Linked DNA regions of Diceros bicornis minor. The protein of the gene in region 1 interacts with the protein of each later gene in a pairwise test. Links are inferred from orthologs where the notes say so. Each region holds a gene or a part of one and is shown on either strand. Other genes may lie near its edges.

Region 1 (6,870 bases):
AAAAAAAAGACAAGCAGGATGCAAGTCATAAAACTATCAGTGGGTTAAACTTTCCTCCATGAGGCAAAGATTACCAGACTGGATTTTTTGAAAAAAAATCAAGCTATATGGAGACCTACTCAAAACCTGAGGACACAAAGTTTGAAAGTGAGAAGATGAAAAAAGAAAGCTATTGAAGCTGTATGAGATGAAATCAACTTTAAGACCAAAGTCATTACTGTAGATAACAGAATGCCATTACATAATTCTGAAATGTTCATTTAGCCAGAAAGATACAAATATTTTAAATTCACAGAATAAAATAGTTTTAAATATACTTCAAAAATTGTAGAATTGCTAAGAGCAATACACAAACTCACCATCATAGTGGGAGGGTGTTACATGCCTTTTTCAATAATTGGTAGATCAGACAGACAAGAAAATCATTAAAGATTGTGGTTTTTTCCTTCCTGACACCAAATACATGGTGTCTTCTCCAACACCAGCTGGGAGTCCTATAATTCAGCTCAACTCGGACCCTAACTGCCTGGAGTTAGTGCAGACTGCACAGATTAAGGGCTCAGCCCACAAGACTGTCCCTACTTCAGACATAGTCACAGGTGTCAAGTGCCTGGGGCACTCACACTTCTGTGTGACTGAGCTACAAAGTCAGGGGTTCCCACATTCCGCCACCCCGGATTCAATAATTTGCTACAATGACTCACAGAACCCAGGAAAATGCTATACTTACTATTATAGTTTATTACAGAGGGTACAAATCAGTAGTCAGATGAAGAGGTACATAGGGGAGGTCTGAAAGTGTCCCAAGTGCAGGAGCCTCTGTCCCTGTGGAGTGGGGTGCACCACCCTGCCAGCACATGGATGTGTTCACCAGCTCAGAAGCTTCCCCAGATCACCTCGTTTAGAGGTTTTAATGGAGGTTTCCTTATGTAGGCATGATTGTGGCCATTGATGATTAACTCAGTCTCCAGCCCCTCTCCCCTCCCTGTAGATTGGGAGGTGGGGCTGAAAGTTCCAAGTTTCTAATAAGGCTTAGTATTTCTGGTGACCAGCCCCCATCCTGAAGCTGTCTAGGGGCTGGCCAAGAGTCATCTCATTAGAACAAAAGATGCTCCTATCATCCTTATCACTCAGGAAATTCCAAGGGGTTTTGGAGCTCTGTGCCATGAACTAAGGACAAAAATAAAATATTTTTCTTATTATACCATAAGTGTACATATGATTTGTGCCCCAATTTGAATCCTAATAGCAATTTAAAAATAGCATATGTAGGATTAGTTACAAAATGTGAAAGACTTTTAGGGAGAAAGTTATAAAGCTTTATTGAAGTTTATTGAAATATAATATTGAATGTTGAAAAATATTGAAGAAGACCTAATTAAATGGGAGGTATACTAGGTTCATGTTAGATTCATGATTGTTTAATACAGAGAATCAATTCTTCCCAAAATGCTCTACAGAATTAACTCATCTCACAAAAATGTCCAAGGAGACATTTCCATTTTTTAATGGAAATGAATAAGCTCATTTGAATATCAGACTTATAAAGGTTGGCAGTTAACCAGAGTGGCATTAGTGCTGGGACATACAAAGGCCTAATGGAACAAAGTGTAGAGTTCTGAAACACACCCATGTATATGTGGAAATGAGCTGCGATGGAGGTGGCTTTGCAGATCAGAATTCCACAAATGAGGTTAGGAAAGTTGATTATCCATATTTTAAAAATAAAATTGAATTCTACTTTACATGGACACAAAAATCAATTTCAGTTAGACTAAAAATCTGAATTTGAAAGGCAAAACCATAAACTTTTAGAAGAGGAAGTTAGCTCTATGATCCCAAGTTGAAAAATTCTTAAGACACAAAAAGGGGAAATAAAAAGATTGATACATTCAATGTTGTTAAAAAATAAGAATTTCTTTTCATCAAAGTACACTATAAAGAAAGTGAAAAGACAAGCTGCGGAGTGGGAAAAGATGTTTATAACATATGCAACTGACAAAAGATGAATATTTATAATATGTAAATAACTTCTATGCCTTCAATAAGAAACAGTGGATCAGATAGAAAAATGAACAGAAGACATAAACAAGAACTTTATAGAAAGAGAAACATTAGTGGCCAATAAATATTATGACAAGATGCTCAGAAAAACGAAAATTAAAATCTCAGTGTGATACTATTTTGCACCCATCACACTGACAATTTAAAAGTCTGATAATACCAAATAGTGAAGCTGTGAACATATAAATTCTAATACACTGCTGGTGGGAGTGTAACCTGGTACAACCACTTTGGAAAATTGATGCTGATATTATCTGGGAAAGTAGAAAATGTGGATAACCCTACAACTCTGCTTTTCCACTCCTAGATATATCTTAGAGAAATTCCTGCACAAAGGGGACATACAAGAATATTCCTAGTGCATTGTGAATAATAGCAAAAAAATGGAAGAAGTGCAAATATTTATTGATGTGTCTCCTTATACTGTGGAATATCATCACCAGTGAAGACAATGAACTACAGCTGTACACAGCAACATGCATAACCCTCACAACATACTGAGGAAAAAACAAGCTTAAGAACACATACAGGGGCCGGACCCATGGCTTAGCGGTTAAGTGCGTGCACTACGCTACTGGCGGCCCAGGTTCAGATCCCCGGGGGCGCACGAGGCACCGCTTCTCCGGCCATGCTGAGGCCACGTCCCACATACAGCAACTAGAAGGATGTGCAACTATGACATACAACTATCTACTGGGGCTTTGGGGGAGAAAAAAAGGAGGAGGATTGGCAATAGATGTTAGCTCAGAGCCGGTCTTCCTCAGCAAAAAGAGGAGGATTAGCATGGATGTTAGCTCAGGGCTGATCTTCCTCACAAAAAACAAAAACAAAAACAAAACAAAACAAAAAAAACACATACAGATGATTTAATGTATTTAAAGTTCAAAACGTGCAAAACTAAACAATATTGTTTAGAGATCCATATTTGTGTTATATAAGTATCAAGAAAAGCAAAGAAATGGTCAATTTCAATGTAGTTGTTTTCTCTGAAGGGAGGAATGGATTATGACCTTGGAAGGAAGGGCACATAGGGTCCTCAAAGATATTGATAATGTTCTGGTTCTTAAACTGGGTGGTAGATACATGCATTTTAATGATTTTTACCTTAAAATACGTTTATATATACAGTCAATCTTCATTACTGTGGATTCCATATTTGCAAATTTGCCTACTTGCTAGAACTTATTTGTAACCCCAAAATCTAAACTAGTGCTTTCATGGTCATTCACGGACATTCACAGAGCAGTGAAAAATCCGTCACCAGACTTCACAGCTGAGGCTGACCAAGGTGACACTCTGCTTTCTTGTTTCAGCTCTTATATTGTAAACCTGTGTCCTTGTCACAGTATATTCAGTGCCACACTTTTTGCATTTTTGTGCTTTTTGTTGGTGCTTTTGCTGTTTAAAATGGCCCTCAAGCATAGTGCTGAAGTGCTGTCTAGTGTTCCTAACTGCAAGAAGGCTGTGATGTGCCTCACGGAGGAAATATGTGTCCAGATAACTTCATTCAGGCATGAGTCATAGTGCTGTTGGCCATGAGCTCAATGTTAGTAAATCAACTACATATATTTTAAAAAGTGTCTTTAACAGAAGCACACGTAAAACAAGGTTATTTTCAAGGTTGTTGAAAATATCATGAACGGTGGCTGCCAGGAACTGAACTGTATTTCCCCTAGAAGCAATGGTTCAGTATTCTCAGCCACTTCATAGAACTACCTCACATAATGAGAATTGACTGCATATTTGCACGTATGAAGGTGGTAATACATTTTCCAAGGAGGCTAGGAGAGCAGGCCGAGCAAACATCGTTTTAGCGGAGACTGGTGTGTCTCAAGAGCGAGGACGCAGCCGTGGTGGCGGAGAGTGGACGCGAGGCGTGGGGTCTGAGCGGCCGTGGAGGCGCGGACAGCGGGAGAGCTGGCGGGGCCCGGGAGCCTTCACCACACGCCAGGGCGGGGCGCGGAGAGGAGTTCGGGGACCGCTGACGGGGCCGCCTGGGTCCTCCACACCTTCCTCTCTCAGGTTCTTCAAGGACCTGCTGCCGGGTTCTGGGGGTTGAAGAGGCGCTAGTACCGCCAGGGAAAACAAACGAGGCGGCTGTGAGGTGCTGAAGGATCGACGGGGCCACAACAGAGTGAGAGCTGGGCCTGGCTCCGCTCCGGGCGGGCGCCGCCCGCCGCCCGCCGCCCGCTCGCGCCCGGAACGCTGCGCCGCGGGCGCGTTGCTGGAGGAGCGAATTCGGCGTGGGACCCGAGGACCTACGTGGGTTCCGGCGGCGACCTGGCGCATGGCGGTGAGCGGGGCGGGGAGGGCGCGCGGGCGGCGGGGCCTGGCGCCGTGGCGGCCCCCGTGATCCTCGTGCTGCCCCCTTTCTCCAGGCCCTGGGACATCCTGCTCGGGAGACAGCGGCGGCCCCAGGTCCAGGTACCGCGCGCGCGCCCCGCGGCCCCGGCTTCCCGGGTCCCTCCGCTGTAGGGTCCCACCCGGTCCGTTTCCGCCCAGGGCCCCCCGCGCGCGGGGACGCGCGCCCCGTAGGCGGTGGAGGCGAGGCGGACGCTAAGAAGCAGAAGAAGAGAAAGAAAACCCGGAAGGGGCCCTCTGTGGCGAATCCGGGCAGCAAGGCCCCCGAAGAGCCGGCCCCAGAGGAAGCACCCTTGAGCGCGGAGGCCCAGGCAAGGGCGGCCTCGGTCGGGAGGGTGGAGTCTGCCCGCGGTGTGCGCTCAGATTTGCGGGTGGAGGTGGCGGAGGATGGGATGGGGGCGTGGGGGTCGCTGTGGGGTGGGCCTGGAGGCCCTCTCGCAGCCACTACCCCCATCCATCACAGGCGGAGCAGCTGGCTCGGGAACTGGCCTGGTGCGTGGAGCAGCTGGAGCTAGGCCTCAAGACGCGGAGACCCAGCCCGAGACAGAGTGAGGGGCCCGTCTGTAGAGTTGGTGGGGCGGTGAATGGTGACAGTGCTCTGGGCTGTAGGTGCTGCCCGGGTGGAATTGTTGCCTTTGCGGTAGGACGATAGGAGGAGAGGATAGAGGAGGCCACTAGTCCTTTTTTTTTTCCGCAGGAGAGCAGGCTGTTGGGGCAATCCGAACCCTGCACAGCGAAAGAACCCCCCTGCCCCGGAAGAGGCAGCTGATGCGCTCCTTGTTTGGGGACTACAGGGCTCAGATGGAAGGCGAGTGGCGCGAAGCCCTGCGGGCCCTCCGGACTGGTGAGGACCCGGGAACTGGTTGATTCAGGGCAGCCTAATTCAAGGGTTGGGGAAGAAGAGCCTAGGGAGTGAAAGAAAGAAGCTTAGAGCCACATGGCTGGCGGGAGGAGGAGACTGGCTCAGGGAAACCTCAGGGAGCGGGGAATGAGAAAGCTCGGACCTCGGGAACACAGAATTTGGGCCTAGACCAGGGAGACGAGCAGGAGAGTTAGTGAATTACTCTTTGATTCTAAAAGGAGTGTGATGATACTACCTACCTCATAATTTTGAGAAGTCAGTTAAATTTATACAAAGCAGTTAGAATTGTGGGGGCAGAGGTAATGTTAGCTGTTGTTATTCAGTCCTCATGCTGTCTCTCTCTTCTCCCGCAGCAGCCCAGTCAGCCCAGGTGCAGCCTGTAGGTGAGGCCGCCAGAAAGAAGAGTGGAAGGGTCTGCAGGCCTCACCTAGCAGGGGGAGCCAAGGCCACCCTGGACACTCCTGATGAAGAGTTTAGGTTCAATTTCTTTTAGCCTCTCCCCCATCCTGGAACAGTCCCTCTCCGTGAGTGGTGTGGGGGTTTATCTTGGGTGCAGAGCCTTTCCAGGAATGCTCTGTGGGACAGATGTGGGGTTGGTCTGTCCCTGGCTGGTCAGTGAGTCTGGTGCCGTTTTTTGGGCAGATGTGAGACCAGCATATTGGGTACTGTCAGACAAGCACGAGACCCCCATTTGTAGGTCTTCAGGTGAATTGTTCCTCCTGCCAGAAGAGGGAAGTCCGTTTAGAAAAGCTTCAACAATAAGCTGAAGTGAGTGTTCAGCATGTTATAGAAAGAATATTTTAGTCAGTCTTTAGTGTTAGATGTAGTAGCTGTTGGTAGTGAGGAATGGTGGGAAAGCTGTGTGATTGTGCACTGGTGCTCACTTAGGAAAGGAGGTCCTGCCACATGGTGTGGTGCTTTCTCTCGTGATGTCACGTTGCCCCAATAAAACTAATTTTTATAAAAGTGGATGAGTGAAAGCGTGTGCTAACCGTGTGTGCTAGAGGAAGTACAGATGAGGCAGGCGTCTGGCAGTGCTGGATCCAGGCTCTCACCCCAGTGCTTGGTCATTTTTGTTGCCTTCATTTCTGAGCAATTCATCCTCAGGGAGCCAGTGTGGCTCCCAGCAGGCCAGGCTTTGTTCTTAGGAGCAGAGAGCTTCTTGGCCTAACAGTCCCCGCCAAAGACTCGGGTTAAGCCTCGGTGGATGACCTCTCTAAATGTTGGCTGCTCCAGGCGATAGTCCCAGGCCTTCTGCTGCATTGAATCAGGTTTTCCAGGTGGCTTAATCCTCCTCAGTGGCTGTGATGCCATTTTGGTGGTATCTCCCAAACTTGCATCTCAGACTAGATAGAAGCCCGGAGCCCAGCTGCCTACTCAGCATCTCTACTTGGATGTTTCATGGGCATTTCAAATTTGGCATGTTCAAAACATCCGATCAACCTCTAAATCTCCCTTCGTCTTCTGCTTTTCAGTGAATGACACTACTGTCCACCTAGTTGATTAAGCCAAAAACCTGGAGCATCCTCAGTTGTTCTGGTTCTCCAACACATATGCTAAATACTTCAGCTGGTATGTGAGTT
Region 2 (8,330 bases), on another chromosome or scaffold:
AGATGACGGTTCAGAAAGGTCAAGGAACTTGTCCAAGCTCACACAGCTAGGAAGTGCCAGAGGTGGGACTGGACTTGAACTCAGGTCTCCAAGACCTGAGTTCTTCCCTCTGCTCCCTGGGACAGCCCCCACCCCAAGTTACAATTTCACGTACAAAACTGCTCCACACAATCCAGAATGAGCATCTGCTCCTCCTCCTCAAGGGCATCGAGCTGAGAGGCCTGGAGGAAGGGAGAGAGGAAGGGGCAGGGGAGTCAACACCCCCTGCCCGCGGGCGCACCCTCCTCCCCCATCCTCACCTCCTCTCTCAGCTGGTCATTCTCCTCCTCCAGCAGCCTCAGCTGCTCCTGCAGGGCTTCCAGCTGTGGGCAGTGGTGCAGCGACTCCGACTCCGTCAGAGGTGTCCTAGGGGAGAGAGCGATGGGAGTCAGAGGGCAGGACTGGGAGCCCCAGGGCCCGGTGCACCCAGGGCTCCCCCACCCGGGCTGAGCATGGTGGTCTCAACCAGCCCCAGCAATCCTGCTGGCAGGGACGCTGTCTGTGTCCCTATTTGCAAACAAGGAAACTGAGGCTCAGAGAAGGGGCCGCTCAGGTGCAAAGGCAGGGCACTCACAGCTCGGGGTCTTCATAAGGAAGATCACTCTGCTGCTCTTCCTCTTCCTCCTCCTCTTCCTCCTCCTCTTCCTCTTCCTCCTCTTCTTCTTCTTCCTCCTCCTCCTCCTCCTCTTCCTCCTCATCATCAGAGTCTGAGTAGAGCTGAAGGAGGTCATCCCGCAAGCTCACCTGGTGTCTGAGGTGTAAAATCTGGCAGGGGGAGAGGAGCCCCAGGTCAGGCCGCGGGCGGGGCAGGCACGGGTCCTGGCAGGAGGGGGATGTAGGTAGGTCTGAGATGGCATACCCCTACCCCCTACTCCCTACCCAGTTACCTCCTCCCTGGCTGAGCCCAGCATGGCTTCCAGCTTGCTGTTCTCCTCCATCAGAACATTGTTCTGCTTCACCAGGGACTGGCCGATGCGAGCTGCCGTATTCAGGTCCCGCTCTCTCTGCAGAGGGACCCCCCCATCCACAGGGAATACTTTCCTGGTTTCTGAGATCTCCCAGACAGGTGGGAGAAGCTAGGGAGTACACAGGCGTCAGAGGGAAGCTAGGCCACTAGGGGGAACCCTCACCATCTCGCAGCTCTCCAGGGTACTAGACAAGAGTCCGCCGTTAACCCACTGTGGGGCCTGACTCAGTTTCCCCTTATGAAAAAAGAACAGATCAGACCAGAGGGCTCTAAGAGCTCTTCCAGCCTGGACATCCCACATCGACCTGCCTTCTGTAAGAGGGGCCCCCAAAGAGGCAGCCAGGCAGGAAACAGACAAGACTCCTACTCCTACAGGACAGAATTAAAACAGGGGCCTGGCGAAAGCTCAGGCTGGTCCAGGTAGGCCAGGCAGTACAGACCTCCTCGAGCAGATTTAACATCACTTGCACATCTTCTTGGCTGATCTTCTTGCCTGGCGGGGGTCGGTCAGGACACAGCACTGCAAGAGAAAGCAGGCAGCCAGGTCAGGAGAAAGGGGGCATACACTAACCAGTACCCCACTGTTTCCTGCCCTATCCCCAGTTCTCCCTCAACAGTGAGAGTCAGCAACAGGGGAGGAGAAGACTGAGTTCCCTTCCTGCCCCCAATATCCTCTCCATACCCCTAGTACTCAGCACTCCCTTCCCTGCTCCCAGGGCCAACTGGACTCATTTTTTTTCTGGAGGAGCTGGGTGAGGTAAGGAGATCACAGTCCTCCAGGCTCAGGCGGAACTGCGCTCTCAGGACGCCTGGGTCCGTGGAACCCAGGAGAATGGAGGTGGCTGGCGGAAGTACCACAGACTGACTCATCACCAGCTACCCAGAGGGCAGCTTGGCCAGCTCATCGGAGCCTCACGGATCATAAACACAGACGCAGTCTCCCACCCTGCACCTGTTGCATGTGGGGAGGAGAGGAGTTAGAGACTTCTCCAGCACTGGAATAGGGGCACCTGAGCCTCTAGACCCAATCCAGAGATCTCCCAGAAGAGGATGGGAGGGAAGAGGAGGGGCAGACTCCGCCTGAGGCCCCGCCCAACCCCAGGCTGGGGAAAAGCCGACCTTGACCCCCGCCTCCAATAGGCTGGCAACCCCCCCCCTCCTCCCACACACCTCCCCATCGCGGGCGCGGTGGGCCAGCGCAGGCTCAGAGCGCGCCGGGCAGCGCCCTCCCGCAGCCCCCCGCCCCGCTCCTGGCACTGCGGTAGACTGAGGAGGGGGGCCCTGAGAGTGCTCAGATCTACCGCAGCAACAGGCGCGCAGAGCGGGCCGAGGGAGCGCGCGGGCCCGGGCACCTGACCCACCCACAGAAATCAGGGAGCGAGAGAAGGGAAGAGGAGATGGGGAAGAGGCGACCGGACTGGCACCGCAGACAGTGACACGGCGAGGGCGGGTGGAGGGGTGGGACTGAGTGTCGGGGGAGCGGGGCACCTGGACCCGACGGGGCCCCCTCCTCCCTGGAGCTGCCCTAGTCCCACTCGCTTCGGGGTCCAGAGGACTCGGTTTACCTTCCTCTAGCTCCCGAATAAAGGCGGCACGCTCGGGGCCCGACACCCCCGGCCGCCGGCCAATGTAGGCAGCTGGCGTCTTCCAGATGTCCGCCGCCTTTCCAGTGCCCAGGCCAGTGGCCCGGGGACCAAAGGGCCCTTGAAATATGAAGTGGGTCCATGGCACATCCGAGTCGCCGGGCACGGACTGGGCATTCCCCTGGACGGCCGAGAATGCAGATGCGCGCTGGGATCCTGCCTCCGATCCAGCCTCGGAGGCCAAGCGAACTCCGGCTGGGGGTCCCGAGACGGATGGGGATCCAGATCCTGCTCCTTGTCCAGCCGCCGCTGCGTGCGCAGGAGCGGCTTCAGGCTCGGCGGAGGGCTCAGGAGCGGGACTGGCTGCGGGTGGCAGTGCGGGGGTGGCTGCTGCCGGATCCCCGGGTCCTGGGCCCGGCCGGTCCCCAGCGCAGCTCTGCCCACAGTCTTTCGGGCGCATCTTGCTCCGCAGTCGGCTGCCGCAGCCGGGCCTTTATAACCTGTGCCGGGAGCGCGCGCCCGCCGGGCCTTACCACGCGCGGGAGGGGCGGCCGAGGAGCAACTAGTGGTGCCCGGGACGGGGGGTAGCGCAGGAGGGCAGCTAATGGTGGCAGAGCAGAGGGTAAAAACAAGAGAAGAGCGAGGAGAAGAGGCCAGTGAAGGTTCCAGCTGGTTCCGTGGGCTTGGGTTCCGAGTGTAGGGCTTTTCCTCCCCTCTCCACCTCCGGAGAATGGTTTTGCCCAAAGCCGCTTCTCCGGGATTCGGGTACAGCGACTCGGAGGTCCCTAACTGGGGGCACCCTCTCCCTCTGCTCCCTTGCAGGGGTTTTTGACTGCCTTCTCTGGGTCTGGGCCGGGGTGACCTGTGAGTTAGGACAGTATTGTGTCTTTCCCCTTGGCTGAGGGATCAATCCAAACTCCTGTTCGGTTTCCACGCGCTGCCTGGCCTGGCGCGTCACAAGCTGATCCTCGCGCTCAGCCTGACACCGACCCCCACCCCCACCCCCACCCCCACCCCCGCGCGCTGGAGCCACTGGGCAGTCCCCCCCCCCTTTTTTTTTTTGTGAGGAAGATTGGCCGTGAGCTAACATCCATGCCCATCTTCCTCTACTTTATATGGGATGCTGCCACAACATGGCTTAATGAGCGGTGCGTGGGTCGGCGCCGGGTTCAGGGCCTGCGAACCCCCGGCCGCCAAAGCGGAGCGCGCAAACTTGACCGCTATGCCACGGGGCCGCCCCGACAGCCCCCTTTCTTATTTATTTGTCTTACTGCCTTTCCTCCTGCTTCACCTCCAGCCCTCATTCACTTTGCCCACTTCCTTCCATCCTGGGGAACACGTGTTCTTCCGGCAGACCCCGCTTAGATGTCTCCCTGAGAAGACTCCTCTGACCCCGTCTCCCACGCGCCAGAGCATTCCTTATTCGCTGGCCGGCAGTGGTCGGAGTGTGTTTGTCTCCAAGAGCAGACTGCCACCCTTCACCGCAGGGAGCGTGTCCATCGGAGCGCAGCACAGACCAGATACCTACGAGGGTCGCCGTAAGTCCTGCATGACCTGTGGGCTGGCAGAGGAGTCCAGTAGCCATTTCTGTGCCTTTGGACTGGAGGAACCTACAGGCCAAAAAGAGATGGCTGTGGCTCTGAGTCTTTTAAAGCCTTGGGATCATTCTCGGTCCCCCAGTTTCCTTCTCTTCAATACCCAATCACTCACCAAGTCATGCTTAATTTACCTCCTAAATATTTCTCAAATGTGCCCTTGCCTCTTCAGCCCTTCTGCTGGTGAGGCCTCATCCTCTCTTCTAGATTATTGTGATACTCACCTCTCCCCCCAACCCCACCCACGTGAATCCATCTCTAGTCCATCCCTCTCATACTCCTGTCTGAGCTAAGGAATTCCAGGACCCCTTCTCCACAGCCACCACTCCAAGCCTGAGCCCAGGACAGGCTGTTGCCCAAGGTCTGCACCTAGGACAGAGGGTCCTAGTGCTGACAGCATGCCTTTGGGGCCAGGTGTCCGTGACAGCACAGAACAAGAGACACAACCCAGGAAGGAGAATCAAAGTGCCCCCTCCACCAGCTCTCCTATGGAGAAGCACTTGGAGAAGAATGTTTCCGTCTGTCTGAGCTCGTTAATTCATTTGACAAACGTATATTAAGTGCCTCCTCTCTATACCAGGCACTGTCCTAGACTCGCAGGCCAGAGCAGGAAACAAGAGAACCAGACCCCTACTGTCCTGGAGGTTAGAGCCTAGAAGGGGAAGCAGATAAACAAGGAAACAAGATAATTACAGAGTGTGGTGCGTTCTCTGAGAGAAGCAAACAGGGAGCTACCGTTGAGAAAAATGGAAAGTACCCATCAGACCCGGTGCTCTGGGTGGGAGGGGAGAAATCACTAATGGCATAGGATTTTGCATCTCAGCCCACACCCCCGGTCTTCGGTCTTCGCAGCCCACTCATCCCTGCCCCCCTCAAATGGCAGCCTCTCTCCTCAGGAGCCAGCGTTTCTCATTCCTGATTGGTGAGCGAACCCTGGTACCAATTCGCCTCCCCAGCCCTAAATCCCTCACACCTGCATCAGCCCTGCAGGGATTCACCTCTCTATCAAAGGGGCAGTGCTCACTAGTTACGTGGTTTCTGAAGTCAGGGCTCCAAATGCAGCCCCCTCATGGGCAGGGAAATAAGGAAGTGGCTCCCCTGGGGAACTCAAACTCCTCCCAACCCTTGCCCACCCTGACCCCTGCTCCCTCTTCTGCTCCTCCTCCCATACAGGCTCCAGGGCACTTCTGCCAGGTGGTTAAGGGTGGCTCAGGCCAGAGGCCTTGGATAAACAGATGGGACGTCTAAGATCCACAGCTGCTCTCTATGCTTTTCACATGCTGCCCTTTTTTATGGTTCTAATCTTTAGCAACTTTAATATTTGTTAGCTTCATTTCTTCTTTCATCTCAACTCTTCTCGGCCCCCTAAATTATCTTCCAATAATTATTCATTCAACAAACAGTTATTAAGCACCTGGTGCCAGGCATTGTGGCAGGTGCTGGGAACACATCAGTGAGCAAAACAAAGATCTTTGGCCTCATAGGGCCCACATGCAATGGGAGCTACAAATAATAAACAAAGGAGTAAATCACATAGTGTATTAGATGTGACGAGTGCTGTGGATTAAAAGAAAGCAGGGAGGAGGGCCTGGGGGTGGGGGGTGGGCTGTGGGTTGCAAGTTTAAATATTAGGGGGGTCAGGAAAGATCTCACTGAAGAGTCACTAAGTCCAGAGCTGAGGGAGGGAGGGAGCAAGGGAGGATATTCACCTGGTGAGAAGCAACAGCAAATGCACAGCCTTGCAGCCAGAGGAGGTCAAAATGGCTAAAATGGAACAAGGAGACGGGATTGTGGGTGATGGGGTCAGGAAGGGGGCAGCAGGGCCGATGGACCACCTTACCTGAGTCCGTGGAGGGCTTTTCATCACAGGAGCGACACGATCTGACTTAAGTTTTAGCAGGAAGGCTCTGGCTGTTCGGCTGAGAATAGACAGATGGAGGGGGGGTGTCTTAGTCCCTTCAGACTGCTATAACAAAATACCAACAACAGAAATTTATTTCTCACAGCTCTGGAGGCTGGAAGTCCAAGATCAAGATGCCAGCAGATTGGGTGTCTGGTGAGGACCTGCTTCCTGGTTCATAGACTGTTGTCTTGTCTTCCCCTTGTGTCCTCACGTGGAGGAAGGGGTGAGGGAGCTCTCGGGGGCCTCTTTTATATGGCCACAATTCCCGTTCATGAGGCTCCACCCTCATGACCTAATCACCTCCCCAAGGCCCCACGTCCTAATACCATCACACTGGGGATTAGGATTTCAGCATATGATTTGGGGTGGGGTGGGGGGACACAAACATTTAGTCCATAACAACCTTATAAGTCTTTTTGAAAAATTGGGCCGGCCCCGTGGCTTAGCGGTTAAGTGCGCGCGCTCTGCTACTGGCGGCCCAGGTTCGGATCCCAGGCGCGCGCTGACGCACCACTTGTCCCGCCATGCTGAGGCCGCGTCCCACATACAGCAACTAGAAGGATGTGCAACTATGACATACAGCTATCTACTGGGGCTTTGGGGAGAAAAAGGGAAAAAAAAAAGGAGGAAGATTGGCTATAGATGTTAGCTCAGGGCCAGTCTTCCTCAGCAAAAAGAGGAGGATTGGCATGGATGTTAGCTGAGGGCTGGTCTTCCTCACAAAAAGAAAAAATTATTAAAAAATTAACAACTTTGGGCCGGCCCGGTGGCTTAGCGGTTAAGTGTGCGCCCTCCTCTGCTGGTGGCCTGGGTTCAGATCCCGGGGGCACACCGACGTACCGCTTCTCCGGCCATGCTGAGGCCGCGTCCCACATACAGCAACTAGAAGGATGTGCACCTATGACATACAACTATCTACTGGGGCTTTGGGGGAAAAAATAAATAAATAAAATTATTAAAAAAAAATTAACAACTTTATTGAGATATAATTCACATACCATAAAATTCATGATTTTAAAGTGTCCAGTCAGTGGTTTTTGGTATATTCACAGAGTTGTGCAACCATCACCACTATCTAATTTCAGAACATTTTCATCACCCCAGAATAAAACCCCATACCCATTAATAGTCATTCCATATTCCCCTCTCCCCCAAACCCCTGGCAACCACTAATCTGCTTTCTATCTCGATGGATTTGCCTATTCTGGGCATTTCATATAAATGGAATCATACAGGATGTGGCCTTTTGTGTCTAGCTTCTTTCACTTAGCACAATGTTTTCAAGGTTCATCCATGTTGCACTATACATCAATACTTCATTCCTTTTTTTTCAAACAGCTTTATTGAGGAATAATTGACATTTGTAACTGTACATACCTAAAATGTAAAATTTGATGTTTTGATATAACGCTCATGAAACTATCATCACAATCAAGATAATGAGTATTTCCATCACTCTCACATATTATCTTTTTTAAAAAAATAAAGTTTATATTTTAGAGGAGTTTTAGGTTTATAGCAAAACTGAGAAAAAAGCACAGAGAGTTCCCATATACCTCCTGCCCCGAGACATGCACAGCCTCCCCCATTATCAACATCCCCCACCAGAGTGGTACATGTGTTATGACTGATGAACCTACATTGACAGATCATAATCACCTGAAGTCCATAGTTTACATTAGGGTTCATCTTGGTGTTGTACATTCTGTGGGTTTGGACAAATGTATAATGACCTATTTCAAGCATTATTGTATCATACAGAGTATTTTCATTGCCCTAAAAATCCTCTGTGGTCTGCCTATTCATCCCTCCTTCCCCCCAACCCCTGGCAACACTGATCTTCTTACTGTCTCTTAGTTTTGCCTTTTCCAGAATGTCATAGAGTTGGAATCATACAGTATGCAGCTTTTTCAGATTGCCTTCTTTCACTTAGTAATATGTATTTAACGTTCTTCCATGTCTTTTCACGGCTAGATAGCTCATTTCTTTTTATCGCTGAATAATATTGCATCGCCTGGATGTACCATGGTCTGTTAATCCATTCACCTACTGACGTCCTTACATTTTTTAAAAAGGCCCTTATCTTTTAGAGACAGATACTGAATTTCTTGTATGAAGTGATGTCTGGGATTTGCTTCAAAGTAACGAAGGAAGGGGAGGCAGGTGGGGACATAGATAACACAGGTCGGCCGTGAGTTGATAACTGTTGAAGTTCTGGGGTAAGTACAGGGGGAACATAATAC

What was found.
Region 2: the proteins of C21H8orf33 (region 1) and HAP1 interact in a two-hybrid assay, tested with the Homo sapiens proteins (2 studies listed by BioGRID and IntAct). The link is inferred for Diceros bicornis minor from reciprocal best matches to the Homo sapiens genes C8orf33 and HAP1.

What each region holds. Positions count from the first base shown.
Region 1 is NC_080760.1:57,568,367-57,575,236, forward strand, and holds C21H8orf33 (UPF0488 protein C8orf33 homolog), read left to right. Parts: upstream 1-4,246; 5' UTR 4,247-4,351; coding exon 4,352-4,357; intron 4,358-4,442; coding exon 4,443-4,488; intron 4,489-4,566; coding exon 4,567-4,736; intron 4,737-4,888; coding exon 4,889-4,973; intron 4,974-5,122; coding exon 5,123-5,269; intron 5,270-5,640; coding exon 5,641-5,780; 3' UTR 5,781-6,256; downstream 6,257-6,870.
Region 2 is NC_080757.1:41,022,918-41,031,247, forward strand, and holds the start of HAP1 (huntingtin-associated protein 1), read right to left. Parts: upstream 3,050-8,330; coding exon 2,572-3,049; intron 1,527-2,571; coding exon 1,447-1,526; intron 1,116-1,446; coding exon 927-1,115; intron 805-926; coding exon 614-804; intron 406-613; coding exon 300-405; intron 222-299; coding exon 155-221; intron 1-154. UniProt on the Homo sapiens protein: Originally identified as neuronal protein that specifically associates with HTT/huntingtin and the binding is enhanced by an expanded polyglutamine repeat within HTT possibly affecting HAP1 interaction properties.